Linked DNA regions of Schizosaccharomyces pombe. The gene in region 3 interacts genetically with the main gene of each other region. Each region holds a gene or a part of one and is shown on either strand. Other genes may lie near its edges.

The links.
Region 1: mutations in bye1 (region 3) and rhn1 together harm fitness more than expected from each alone (negative genetic interaction), as found in Schizosaccharomyces pombe (2 studies listed by BioGRID).
Region 2: mutations in bye1 (region 3) and pef1 together harm fitness more than expected from each alone (negative genetic interaction), as found in Schizosaccharomyces pombe (2 studies listed by BioGRID).

Annotation. Positions count from the first base shown.
Region 1 is NC_003423.3:1,033,448-1,037,373, reverse strand, and holds rhn1 (RNA polymerase II transcription termination factor), read right to left. Parts: upstream 1,853-3,926; 5' UTR 1,837-1,852; coding exon 1,689-1,836; exon of another isoform or gene 1,641-1,688; coding exon 1,540-1,640; exon of another isoform or gene 1,472-1,539; coding exon 1,277-1,471; intron 1,230-1,276; coding exon 510-1,229; downstream 1-509. Other genes in the region: serine/threonine protein kinase Ppk27, read right to left, coding at 1-297.
Region 2 is NC_003421.2:685,795-689,187, forward strand, and holds pef1 (cyclin-dependent protein kinase Pho85/PhoA-like Pef1), read left to right. Parts: upstream 1-1,940; 5' UTR 1,941-1,959; coding exon 1,960-1,987; exon of another isoform or gene 1,988-2,038; coding exon 2,039-2,877; downstream 2,878-3,393. Other genes in the region: pgl1 (6-phosphogluconolactonase), read left to right, coding at 107-291, 410-998.
Region 3 is NC_003421.2:1,256,600-1,261,902, reverse strand, and holds bye1 (transcription elongation regulator), read right to left. Parts: upstream 3,496-5,303; 5' UTR 3,367-3,495; intron 3,313-3,366; 5' UTR 3,270-3,312; coding exon 1,104-3,269; 3' UTR 623-1,103; downstream 1-622. Other genes in the region: chaperone activator Sti1, read left to right, coding at 1-297; SPOM_SPCC645.12C (uncharacterized protein), read left to right, coding at 3,631-4,227; protein mug117, read left to right, coding at 4,410-4,970; cca2 (ATP/CTP tRNA nucleotidyltransferase), read right to left, coding at 5,110-5,253.

The DNA.
Region 1 (3,926 bases), on a different chromosome or scaffold from region 3:
TTTCTCATTCTCGTCTGAATATAAAGCATATCCTCTACTTCTGCCTAATTGAAGAGAATACAATGATTTTTTTTGTATATTAGTTAAGCCAAAAATTAAATCGGAAAAAGTCTCTAAATCTCTATTAAATGGAGCATAGTTAGAAATTTCTAGTTTAGTTAAATCGTTCGTCAATGATTCAGATATATCAGTCTCAGACGGAAGAGCTGAAATATTCGGATTTACATGACGAATTTTATTTGAAAGAGGATATAGTTGCAGCGATTTTTCTTCGCAAGAATGTTTTTTTTCAGACATTAAAAGCCCATTCTTCCTAGATAGGGCTCAACTTTCTTCGAAATATACAAAATTCCAAAAACGGCTTCGATAGGATGAAGTCAGGTACTGACGCATATAAAAGGTTAGGATAGGTATTCTAAAAATGCTTATTGACTAAGACTGCCACATTGATTGACAGTTTAAAAAAAAAAAGAAAAATAATGAAAACTAAGCATTACATTTCATGGATTTCAGCTATCACCATATAGACCAGCTGCACTAGAGTCGTCCGAAGAGGGAGAACTATCTTTTCCATAGATATCTGAGTCTTCTGGTAATTCTTTAGATTCCTCTTCATTTTCTTCTTTTCTCTGGCTTTTAAATAATGATGTTTCTTCTTCTTCTTGGGAATAGGGTCCACTGGCAGGAGGAGGAAGAGGAGAGAGATTGTCTTCAGATGGATTTTCGACAATATTGGAAGTATATGGTACGCTGTTAATGCTTGGAGAGTAAGAATCTACTTGAGGAGAATAAGCATCATCACTGTTTGGAGAACTAGACGGAGGTGATGTTGTTTCTACATTATGTTTGCCAGCAGTAGAACTTTTATCTCCAAAACCTGCATCGGTCAAGGTAGAGGTAGCTGTTGTACTTTCCTTATTCTCTAAATTAGAAATTATGGATTCAACAGATTTTAGGCTCTCTTCTTCCTCTGAAAGTAGCTTTTTTTGTTCTTCTATAAGCGATTCCAAGGAAGTAATGAGTGTGGATCGGGATTCGATGCAAGCCTGATAATTACCTTTACATGATTCAGAGGCTTTATTTAGTTGCTTTTTATAATTATCGAGTAGTTCAGAATAATCTGATTGTTTCTCCAAGTATGATTTATACAATGCATCTACCACAGTTTTGGTAGAGTGAGCAGATTTTGCGTATAAACTAGTTTGTGTCATTAAACGAGTGTAAGGTGCCTATGCAATTAGTAAAGTTCTGATATTTTATTTGAATTGCGGCATACCCATTCCGGAGGGCCAACGGGGTAATAGTTAGAATGGCCACTGTTCTCGGCATTATTAAACCTTTCCTGCAAGGATAAAAGTATCTCCTTAGAAAATATGCCGCGTTGACACCAAACGTCAAAAACGTATTTGATTTTTGTTTTAATGGAAGCAGGAACTGACGCGTACGCGTCAGCTACAGAGTTTACGACATACTATGCAAATATTATTAGAATCTAAACCATATAGGAGATGTTCCAAGCTCATAATGATAGTAACTTACTGGAGAAACGGCATCAATATATTCAGATATTTTTTTGACCCGGGATTGTTGAACGACTTCGTTGAGCAGGTAAAGCAATAAAAGCTTTTTGTTGGAAGAAGCTGGTTAAATTAGTTAGACAATCGAACAAATTCCTAAAGGAGTCATACATTCATACAAAGCTTCCAGCCATATTTGGACAATTTCATCAGCATAACGCTTGTGAAACATAACCCAATGCGCTATTCCCGTTATACTTTCTTGTGTTTCATTTAGAGTAGCCAACTTTGAAGAAACAGTGTCTGGAGTCAAAGCCATCTTGTTTTATGCTGATGGTGAGTTTCTTACGACACACTGCTGTTAGCATCGCAAACGAAATCATAAGCATAAGTAATAAATACTTCTTGTATAATATCAATGTTTTACATTATAGCCTATACTTAAAATGATTTTGAAACAACAGATTAATTAGTTTGGGTAGAGCAAAAATCTTCGTCTCATTTGTAAAGATGGAAAAGAACATTTATTATTCTCAAACTACCCAGTTTTCTCCAAGATTCCCTCTTAAATATTAGGTATATAAAATACATTATTCGTTTTCTCATGATTTTGTTTAGTCTCAGCAGGTCATCTTAGCTAACGGCTATCACTCACTGTAACATTTACAGTACGAGTTTTGGTAAGAATGCTAGACGAAATCTTGTGATGTTATATGTTGGGGATTATGAAAAGAAACTATTCGGCGTGTTGAGAAATGTGTACGGAGTGCAAATGTGTGTTTTAATGACTTGTCTGAAGCAGGAATTACTATATACTACTCACCGCATTGAGACTTTGTTTTTGCTTCCCTTGTATTACTATAAACTATGGCATATACTTACGTAAAAAATTATATAATAAACTAATTGTTCGTTTGAAATCGTATTTATTTGTCAACCGGGCAGGCAAAGCAGTAAAGATGTTCTGAAATTGAACGATAATACGAGTTTCAAAAAAAATAAAAAAATAAATGAATAAAGTAAAATAAATTAACTCCTAAGAACAAAGTTAAAACGGGATGACTAGTAGTAAGCAAAATTGTAAATAAAAAGTGCCGTAAGAATGTCAACGTATAAAACTAATGTTCATTTTCTGCCAATGATAGTCATTTCACCTTTCATAGTAGTTATTTCAACTTAATGGATGCAATCTCATTCTGCGTAGCGTCAAACTCAGAATTCATGTCGTTTCGCCAACACTCTATACCAGAAATATATCATTGAAGGACTTTTCAAGTCTTGTATTTGCTCATTCATCTATTCAACAATATAACCCATATATTAGAATACCAATCTCAATTGCTACTTATATATTACTTGCGAATTACAATATAATAGATCACTAGGAAAACACCGTAGTTCTACGTATCGTTAAATTAAATACTTGCGTAGCTAACATTATATCCTCTTAACGCATTTGTTGTAGCTATGGGTTATATTATTTACAATTAATAGCTTGAATGAGTAATATACCTTTTCTTTAAATATTTCGTGATTATTTAGAGCTGTTGAGAATCCCTTAAGAGGAATACAATAAAGCAGGATAAAGAAATGTTTTTCTATTAACTTTGTTATGCATGTTTGCAATCGAAGTTTGTTTTTAAACAAATACTCCTCTATTCAATAAATCTAACTTTGTAATAAGTTACCTGCAAATAAGCCATTTTTCTTTTATTTTACAGATAAAGCCCATTTTCATTATCTGTATCACGTACTCCCAGTGTGAAGTTACTTAGGTTACCTTGTTTCTTAATCCATCAAAAACTCTTTTCTTTGTCCTTAGCATTCTTTGTTTAAAGTTGTATATAAGGGGAACTTGAGAGATTTGAATTTACTTACAACACATATATTAAATATTGCTTTCAACACACGTTTGTACTTTTATTTTCCAAGATTTCCCTTTCTGAGAAATATTTGTCAATTAGTAAACATATAAGGCAGGCTACAAAAGATATCATTTGTATAGTTATAGTGAATTGAAATTTTATCGTTAAAAAGAATACTGCGGTTTATTGCAACTGGTTTTGTATAAATAATAAGGATGATGTCGAACGAGAATTTTGATAATGACTACAATCTGCCACCACCAAATGATTCTGCGGAAGATTTAAAAATTTTCATTGAAAGATACGAGAGATCTGTAGATTCTACATTGTTAGAAATTGACGAAAACAAAAGAGAAGCACTTGAAAAAAATATATTGAGGAATGAGATCGTAAAATGAAATATGAAATTGAATGCAATGAAAGGCTACAAGGATGGAAAAAGTTAGCGATTGAAAGGGAAATTTCTGAAGAACAATCGGGAGAAGTACAATTTCCACGCTGGATAGATGAATGGGCAAACACTAAACTAGGTGGAATTTTCGAA
Region 2 (3,393 bases), 570 kb from region 3:
TTCCGACTACCGAATGAATTACGACACTCCACCTTGTTTCGTTAATACTACTCCATTACTAACAATTGCGCAAATACTGAAAGCAAACCAGAACCAAGTAGAAAAAATGTCGGTTTACTCATTTTCAGACGTTAGTTTAGTTGCAAAGGCACTTGGTGCATTCGTTAAAGAGAAAAGTGAAGCTTCTATTAAAAGGCATGGCGTGTTCACTTTAGCTCTTAGTGGAGGAAGTTTACCAAAGGTTTTGGCTGAAGGATTGGCTCAACAGAGAGGTATCGAGTTTTCCAAATGGTAAGTTAACAGATATTATATACTTTTGAGTTGTATGGATTCACTGTGGTTTTGTTTAGCTTTGGTTGACGTGAAACACTCTGTCTTAAGGCAATTTATGATTAACAGCTCTATTTAGGGAAGTTTTCTTTGCTGATGAAAGAATTGTTCCTTTAGATGATGAAAACTCAAATTATGCGCTCTGTAAAAAGTTGATTTTTGACAAGTTTGAAGGATTTGACCCTAAAAAAATTCATACCATCAATCCTGAGCTTTTGAAAGAAAATCCTATTGACCCTCAGAATGTTGCTGATGAATATGAAAAACAATTAGTGCATGTGTTTGCAAATAGCTCCACTGTTAAGGTCCCTGTGTTTGATTTACTGCTGTTAGGATGCGGTCCTGATGGCCATACATGTTCTCTATTCCCCGATCACGAGGTACTCCAGGAAGACGTTGCTTGGGTGGCCCCAGTCACTGATTCGCCCAAACCCCCTAAAGACCGCATCACTTTGACTTTACCGGTTGTCACACATGCTCAAGCCATTGCCTTTGTTACCACAGGTGCTGGTAAGAAGGATATTTTGCCTATTGTCATTGAGGATTTTACATCTAAACTTCCAAGTGCGCTGATCACTCGAAACAATTTGACTCGTACAAGCTGGTTTGTGGATGATGAAGCATCAGCCAATCTTGAGAGATCCTCTTTGAAGGTTTTCCCTCAATAGGCAGTTCAATTTAAGCAGGTGGCCTTTAGAATGCTTAATTGCTACATGCTTCGGATTCATTACTTGTTTCTTTAAGGTCTTTCAAGGGAAAGGTTGCAGTTCTCTTTTGTTGTTCGTGAGATTCTTTGCATAAACGCTTTAGATAATGACTTTCAAAATGCTTTCAGTCACTTCCGTGGAATGCTTGATGACCAGTTTTAACACATGTTAGTAGATTAGGAGAGAACTTGTTCCTCAAATCCTCTTTGCATTTGTTGTCTGTTTTTTATTTTAGACTAGCGTATAAAGGTTAGTCTTGTAAACAATGTGTAAGAAGCTAATGCTTTATTAAATTGTTTTATTGCTTCGTTTAGAATCATGTTTAGTTGATTGATATCACTGGCCAAACCCACACTGCAGAAATATGATGTTTTAATGAAGAAATGAATCATTGAAATATATAAACTTAAGCTATCTTGTATCATTTTTTGTTGGTGATAATGTTCTAAAATGTGTTTCATCAACAAGATAAAGTAAACCAATTGTTTTTGAATTGCAGTGATATAGTTTAGCTTCAATTCTTTTATTAAATCATTAATTCATTTTTAAAATTATGCAAAATTACGGCATTTTCTCATACTGCTTATGATAGATTTTAAGCAAAGATGGAAATTTATATCCAAAAACATGCAATTGCTTAAACTCTCCTTTATGTAAGGGTTTATTAATACTTATGTGTTTTCTACAGATGGCAACCTTCTGATTAATTATCATTAGGTTAATTTGTGATAGAAGCTGTAGTGATCTTAATTACAATAGTTTACATTATAGCAAGATGTTCGACATGACTCAATAGACTAAAAATTTTTTTTCTTAGCATATTCTTCAAAACTGTAGGTCTTAAAAACAGTTTTGTTAGCTTAACATCACCTTAAGTCGTTAGTCATCGTAGAGGAGGCACTTGATATTTCCATCGCACAACATGAACTACCAAAGGCTTGAAAAGTTAGGTAAGTATGAGTTTGAGGTCCCAAAATTTGCAATTTCATTAACTTAAGTAGGAGAGGGAACATATGCGCATGTTTATAAGGGGCAAAATCGAGTGACTGGTGAAATTGTCGCTCTCAAAGTTATTCGTATTGATGCAGATGAAGGAACACCTAGTACTGCTATCCGTGAGATTAGTCTTATGAAGGAGCTTAGGCATCCCAATATTATGTCTCTCTCAGACGTTTTGCAAACCGAAAATAAGCTTATGCTCGTTTTTGAATATATGGAAAAAGATTTGAAAAAGTACATGGACACTTATGGGAACCAAGGAGCTCTTCCACCTTCTCAAGTAAAAAATTTTACTCAACAATTACTCAAAGGGATATCTTTTTGTCACGAAAACCGAGTTCTACATCGTGATCTGAAACCTCAAAATTTGCTTATCAACAGTCGTGGTGAATTGAAATTGGCGGATTTTGGGTTAGCCCGTTCAATTGGAATTCCAGTGAATACTTTTTCAAACGAAGTGGTCACCTTATGGTATCGTGCTCCTGACGTTCTTTTGGGTTCTCGAGTATATTCAACTTCCATTGATATTTGGTCAGTTGGTTGTATCATGGCAGAAATGGCTACAGGACGTCCTCTATTTGCTGGGTCAAATAATGAGGATCAGCTACTAAAAATCTTCCGATTATTGGGAACTCCTACTGAACAATCATGGCCCGGAATTTCTTTACTTCCTGAATATAAGCCTACTTTCCCTATTTATAAAGCACAAGATCTCGCCTACCTATTTCCAACATTTGATCCTCTTGGTTTGGATTTGTTACGACGGATGCTTCGTCTACAACCTGAATTAAGGACGACCGGCCAGGATGCGCTTCAACATGCTTGGTTTTTAACCGCATAGGCTGTAAATTAACATCAAAAAGTTTAACCAAATTACGATTTTATTTATTCATTTCAGTTTCCTATTGAAATCATTAATTTTTTTTTTGGAAAGAATGCATTTCACCTAGGGAAAGAGCACAATATTTTTGGACGTTCAAATTTCTTCGCAACTGTTTTAGCCCAAGTAGCTATCCCTATTGATCTTTTTTAAACGAGGTTTAGAGGTAAATATTTGGTTATTATTTTGAGAGGATTTGAAGCTGTCGAATATATTTTTAGCCAAGAATTAAACGGCGTTTTATTTTCTACGATTAAAATATCGTCGCTGATGACATTCAAGTCGTAAATGAAATACTTAAAGAATTGAATGATCCGCATTGCGTCTGACATTTTTATGAAGGAGCAAAAGGATAATATTCAAAAAGCAATGCGGGTTTTTAGTATACTGATAATAATTTGCGGATTTCAAGCAATTATCCGCAATGCACATGAAAAACAATCTTTTTTCACTTATTTTTATTAGTGGATTAATGGC
Region 3 (5,303 bases):
TCTGAAGTTGACCGTCGTGAGCCCAATACCGGTAAGAACCTTCGTGAAATCGAGTCTCAATTGTCCAAGTGTATGAGCGCAATGGCTAGTCAGAGACAAAATGAAACTGAGGAGGAGACGATGGCTCGAATTCAAAAAGATCCTGAAGTTCTAGGAATCTTACAAGACCCTGCTATGCAAGCTATCCTTGGACAAGCTCGTGAGAATCCTGCTGCTTTGATGGAACACATGAAGAACCCAACCGTTAAAAGCAAAATTGAGAAGCTGATTGCCAGCGGTGTTATTCGCCTGGGCTAAATTTGCGCTTTTGTGAGAAGTGAGATTTAAAAAAAAGAAAGGTTTTAACGTTTACTTAGTTTATGAATGTTGTTTGTTAAAGAGTAATCCCTTACTTTAATACAACCGGATGAATTGGATAACTGCTTTTTTGTTAAATATTTCACTAAACGAAGAAGTTGGGTGTTATTTATCCTCCAAATTTTTAGGGTATTGATGAGTTAGTCGATTAATAGTTTGATCATTTAATAAACATAAGCACTAATTCATGTTGAATTTAAAATTATAATCATATCACGATAGGTAGTTACTAAATGCTTTAACCTTTTATTCTCCAAATTTTAGGGTGGATATGAAAAGTATTATAATATCAAATCAAAATTTTAAGTCCAGATGTGAATCGCTTTACATTGTGCTAACTAACAAACTCAATTAAGAGTGTAAAAAAAAAATAAATAAATATCATTAGGTTGACCTTAATTATCCATAACTAAAATGTTATGAAAATAGATTATGCATATCAAGCAGTAATATTAGATAGATATGTAAGTCAAAGAAGCCATGCTTCACAAAATATACCGTTAATAAAAAACTCGTCAATGTGTCTCAAAGATTCTAGGATAAGGTTAACTAGGACCATCTCCCAAAAATGATATTATAATGAAAACTTTTAAGGACCGGGTTAATTGATTCTTTAAACTACAGTTTTCCTATTTTAATATATACCAAAAAGAGACATATATGCCATTTTTGATGATCCAAAAAGGAGGAGTTATGCAAGAACGGTGCTTGTTAATAACCTCCATTAAAAAAGAAATTTACAAAAATTATTGTTTGGACGCCTTTTTCTGAGCCGCCGAAATGGCATTCTGCATAAATTGAGGGTTAATTGCTAGCGACGGATTTGCCCTTATTTGTGGATTGTTCTCAACAACATCTTTAATTAAGAGCATATCAGAAGGAGTTAAAGCATTAATAATACTTTCGAGAGACGGGTAGGAATGAACTGGATTAGTAGGTGTACCAGAAGCAGACTGATATGTAGATGGAATACCATTTGTGGAAGTAGTGATAGGAGTGGCTCTTTCTACTGATTCATGACGAGAGGAGCTTTTATTAAGAACAAATAAGCCCATGAAATACTGAAAATTTCGATCTTTAGGTAAATCAACCTTGGGAAGAAGGTCAAGTAATTCAGGCACGCTGTTTCCTGATGGCATAGGAATAATGTATGCATCTTTCACAGAATTAGACTTCGAATGTAACACTCCATAGCGATTTCTTTTCACAAAATAATCGTACAAAATATCAAATCCTTGTGAGTTTTGCTCAGTGGGTACGAATAGCACCGCAATTATTTCTTTAGAAGGAGTTTTTCTTAGAGCATGAAAATACTGCAAAACTGATGATACACTTATACGACCCTCAATTAAAGCTGTCGCAGATAAAATTTCAAATAAATGACTAGCACTAACATCACCAAATAAATTTAAGGCATTTGCGTGAAACTCTGAAACAGTAGCCATTTTTACTTTTCCAGTCCATATTTTCTCTTTCATGCCAAAAAACTCAGACTCCTCAGCCATATCTTCAGCAGGCGAATACGGAGAAGAAAATGAATCGTTCCTCGCAAGAGGCTCCTCTTCTACAATGTCAAGTATAGTAGGATCATCTATTTCCACGATGGAAGGGACATTGACTATCGGTTTTGTGTCGTTAAAACTCCCTTTTCTTTTTGCAGCTTTATCACCATTAGATGTATCGTCTTCAGAAAGAGGATTATGTTCCGGTAAAGTAGGACTTTTGGAATCAATTGTGGGCTCTTCTTCTGCAATTGAAATTGGAGCTACAAGCTCTCCAGGAGGTTTGGGAAACATCGCATCATCGTTTTCCGCAATACCAAGTTCATCTTGTTGTGTAAGTTTATCTTCATCAAGTAAACGATCTCGTGGAGCAATCAAATGTTGCTTTATGACTGTGTTTTCAGTACTTTGTTGACGAATTTCCTCAGCTAGGTTCTTCAAGTCAGGATTAGCCATTTCTTCACTGGATAAGTTGACCAGATCGTTAAAACTAATTTCATTTTTTAACACGCGCGCTCGAAATGCCGGGTTTTTGTCATCAACCAAGTTGAATCGTAAAGCACGAAACTTCTCTCGATATTTGTTGTTCGGAGTTAACGAATGATCAGTTGTATACGAAAGCACCATAAACATAATATGCTCAAGCTGAAGCGCTAAGGATGTAGAATTAAGGTCTTCTAATCCTTGCACACCTTCAAGTTTTGCTTTCTCAATGATTTTTTCAAAAACGGAAACCCAGGCTTTGGCAACACTTTTTCTAACAGGGTTTTGAATTTCATCGATAGAAGTGTGTAAACTAAGCTCCTTTTCCTGATCTGCAGTTTCATTGGAAGCATCCTTAGGAGATGTTTTTGGTGCATTCTTGCTACGTTTGGTATGAGTAGCCGTCGTACCAACACTGCCTCTTCGTTTTCGAGTTGAAGGTGGAGAATGAGAACTTTTTGGTGTCGTGGAGCCAATAGGAGTCCTAGGAGATTGTCGACCAGACCTAGTAGTCATTCCAACATTAGAATTTGTCGAAGCAGGCTCGGATGATTCTAGTTCAGCGCCTGACTCTTTAGTAATCGCCTCTTTTGAATCAGAAGATACAACATTATTTTCTTCATTGTTTTTCTCGTTCCCTTCATTAGAGGCAAGTAAATCAGCTGTCTGATGCTCTTCATCCTTATTGGGAGAATTTTGTACTTGTGATGAAACGTCGCTTCGCGAATGACAAACTTCACAATAGTAGCTTTCAGGTATATCCTTATCCGCTAATCCAACGCAACTGGCATGTTGCCAGCAATCACACCCATCACATTGAACCCACGTATCGCCAATGTCTTCTTGCGATTTACAAACACACCGAACAACAGTTTCAGGAGGTTTTTCTGAGGCTTTTGCCGTCCTTCTAGTGCTTTTTCTTACCATGCTTCGTTATTATGGGAATAAAAAGTATTTTGATCAATGACATCTGTACTTCAAGGTTAATACATGCAATTCGAATAACAAGTGATTGAATGCGTACTAAATAAACTGAGGAGATTAAAATATATGCATAACTAAACAAAAGTCGTTCCTGAAGTGTTTAATATCCTCACAAAAGCTCGTCAAGAGTTCTAAAAAACAAGGTGTTGGCAGGTATGGGTTATTGGCAAGTGGCAGCAGTGTTGTAGTTTGTTATAGCAAAGGTGCAAAATCTGCGAAAACTAAGGATACATGCTATTTTATAGTTCGAATGCAATATTTTACGATTAAATGTGAATATTGTTAGAAAAGGAGCTTCAAAAATATGAGTAGTGCACGAGAGTTACTGAGGAAAGTAAAACAAGAGCGATTAGGGCAAAAGCGAGGTCTGAAAGCCTCTAGTCAAGAACTGAAGCGTCAGAAGACGAGAGATCATAAATCATTTGAAAATTTAGGTCGTGATCAATCTCGTGAGCTGGCAGTAAGTGATTTTAATGAAAAGCAATCTACAGAACCTCCTAAGGATACACGAGCGGTGTCCGCACTTCCAGAAAACTTTTTTGATGAATCTATTGCTAAAAATAAAGAACTAATTGAAGAAGAGTGGAACGATTTTCAAAATGAGATTGGCATTATTGAGGAAAATGCTGTTGAACAAGAAATAACACTCCAACAGCAACAGTTATTGGCCGAAAAGGATGAAGAAAATGAAATTGCAGATAATGATTTAGAACCAGAAGTTTATGATATTCTTTATGAAGAAGAAAGCAAATTGGGTGAGTCGAGGGATCTTATCCGTCGTTTGAAACAAAAAAGGTTTGAAACTAAAAAAAATAACTTTTCTGTTAAAGAATCTAGCAATTTATCTAATAATGACTCGGATGCTTCACTAGATGAAGACACCTTGCTTTGGGGTTTGTAAAGCTCTGTTTACGATCTTAAAAACAAACAAAAATATTGACACCAACTAAAAGAATACTGTTTATATTACATATTCTTTCCTTAACCAAAAGAAAAATATTAATTAATTAAGAATAATTGCAAATAAGAAGCATTGCTTTAAACACTTTTGCATATTTAATATATATTAATATTTCGGAAGGAATGTGGAAATTTTGTTGTGTAACAGAGAAATTAACTTTGTTCCTATTCATATACGGAATCTGCATTTACATATGCATTGCAGTCCCAATTAGAAGTGATCTTAGTACTGTCTTTGAGCCAGAAGCAAAAGGCTCTCGAATTACTTCAAACTATCGAAGAAGTTTATTTAACATGCTTGGATATGATAATTCGGTTCATCCTAATAACTGTAAGGGCTCATTTCTTTGCCCTATGCTTCGAGGAGAAAATCGTGCGTGTCCGAACGCGTACATGAAGTATAATAGATCCTTGATCTACCATGGATATTCTTCTTATACAGCTAGTTCTTGCACTGCCATTTATGAGTGCGAAGGTGATTATCCAGCACGCACAGGCAACGAAATCATTGATGAATTTGATCAATTAAATTTGCAATGTTCCGCTTGTGGAACTCGTTTTTTTAATAATGATAATGAAAACACAAGATGCTATGTCAAATTGAACTACTGTTATCCAGACTGTACCGAAATTACACCAAGCACCAGCGAATACGATTATCGAGAGCCGGTTAGAGATTGGTAATAATAAGAGGAAAGGATCCATTCTGAATTAAGCATAAATATCATAAATACGAATTTCCAAAAAGGACGACGATTACTGGTGACTTTTATTCTTTTAATCTTTTGTGCGATTAAGTTATCTAAACAGTGATTGTCTTTTCTTATATTTTTAGGGATTGAAGGTATGCAACACAATCTTCGACACTTCCTTCAGGGTGTTTAAATTGCCAGGAAATCATGTTATCCATAGTCTCTTTCAGCTGCGGGCCAGGCTTAACTCCCACATTTTTCATGATCTGTTTTCCCTAAAAAATTGTTAGCTTATTCGCTCAATATTGTTAACAGAAATAAAAGA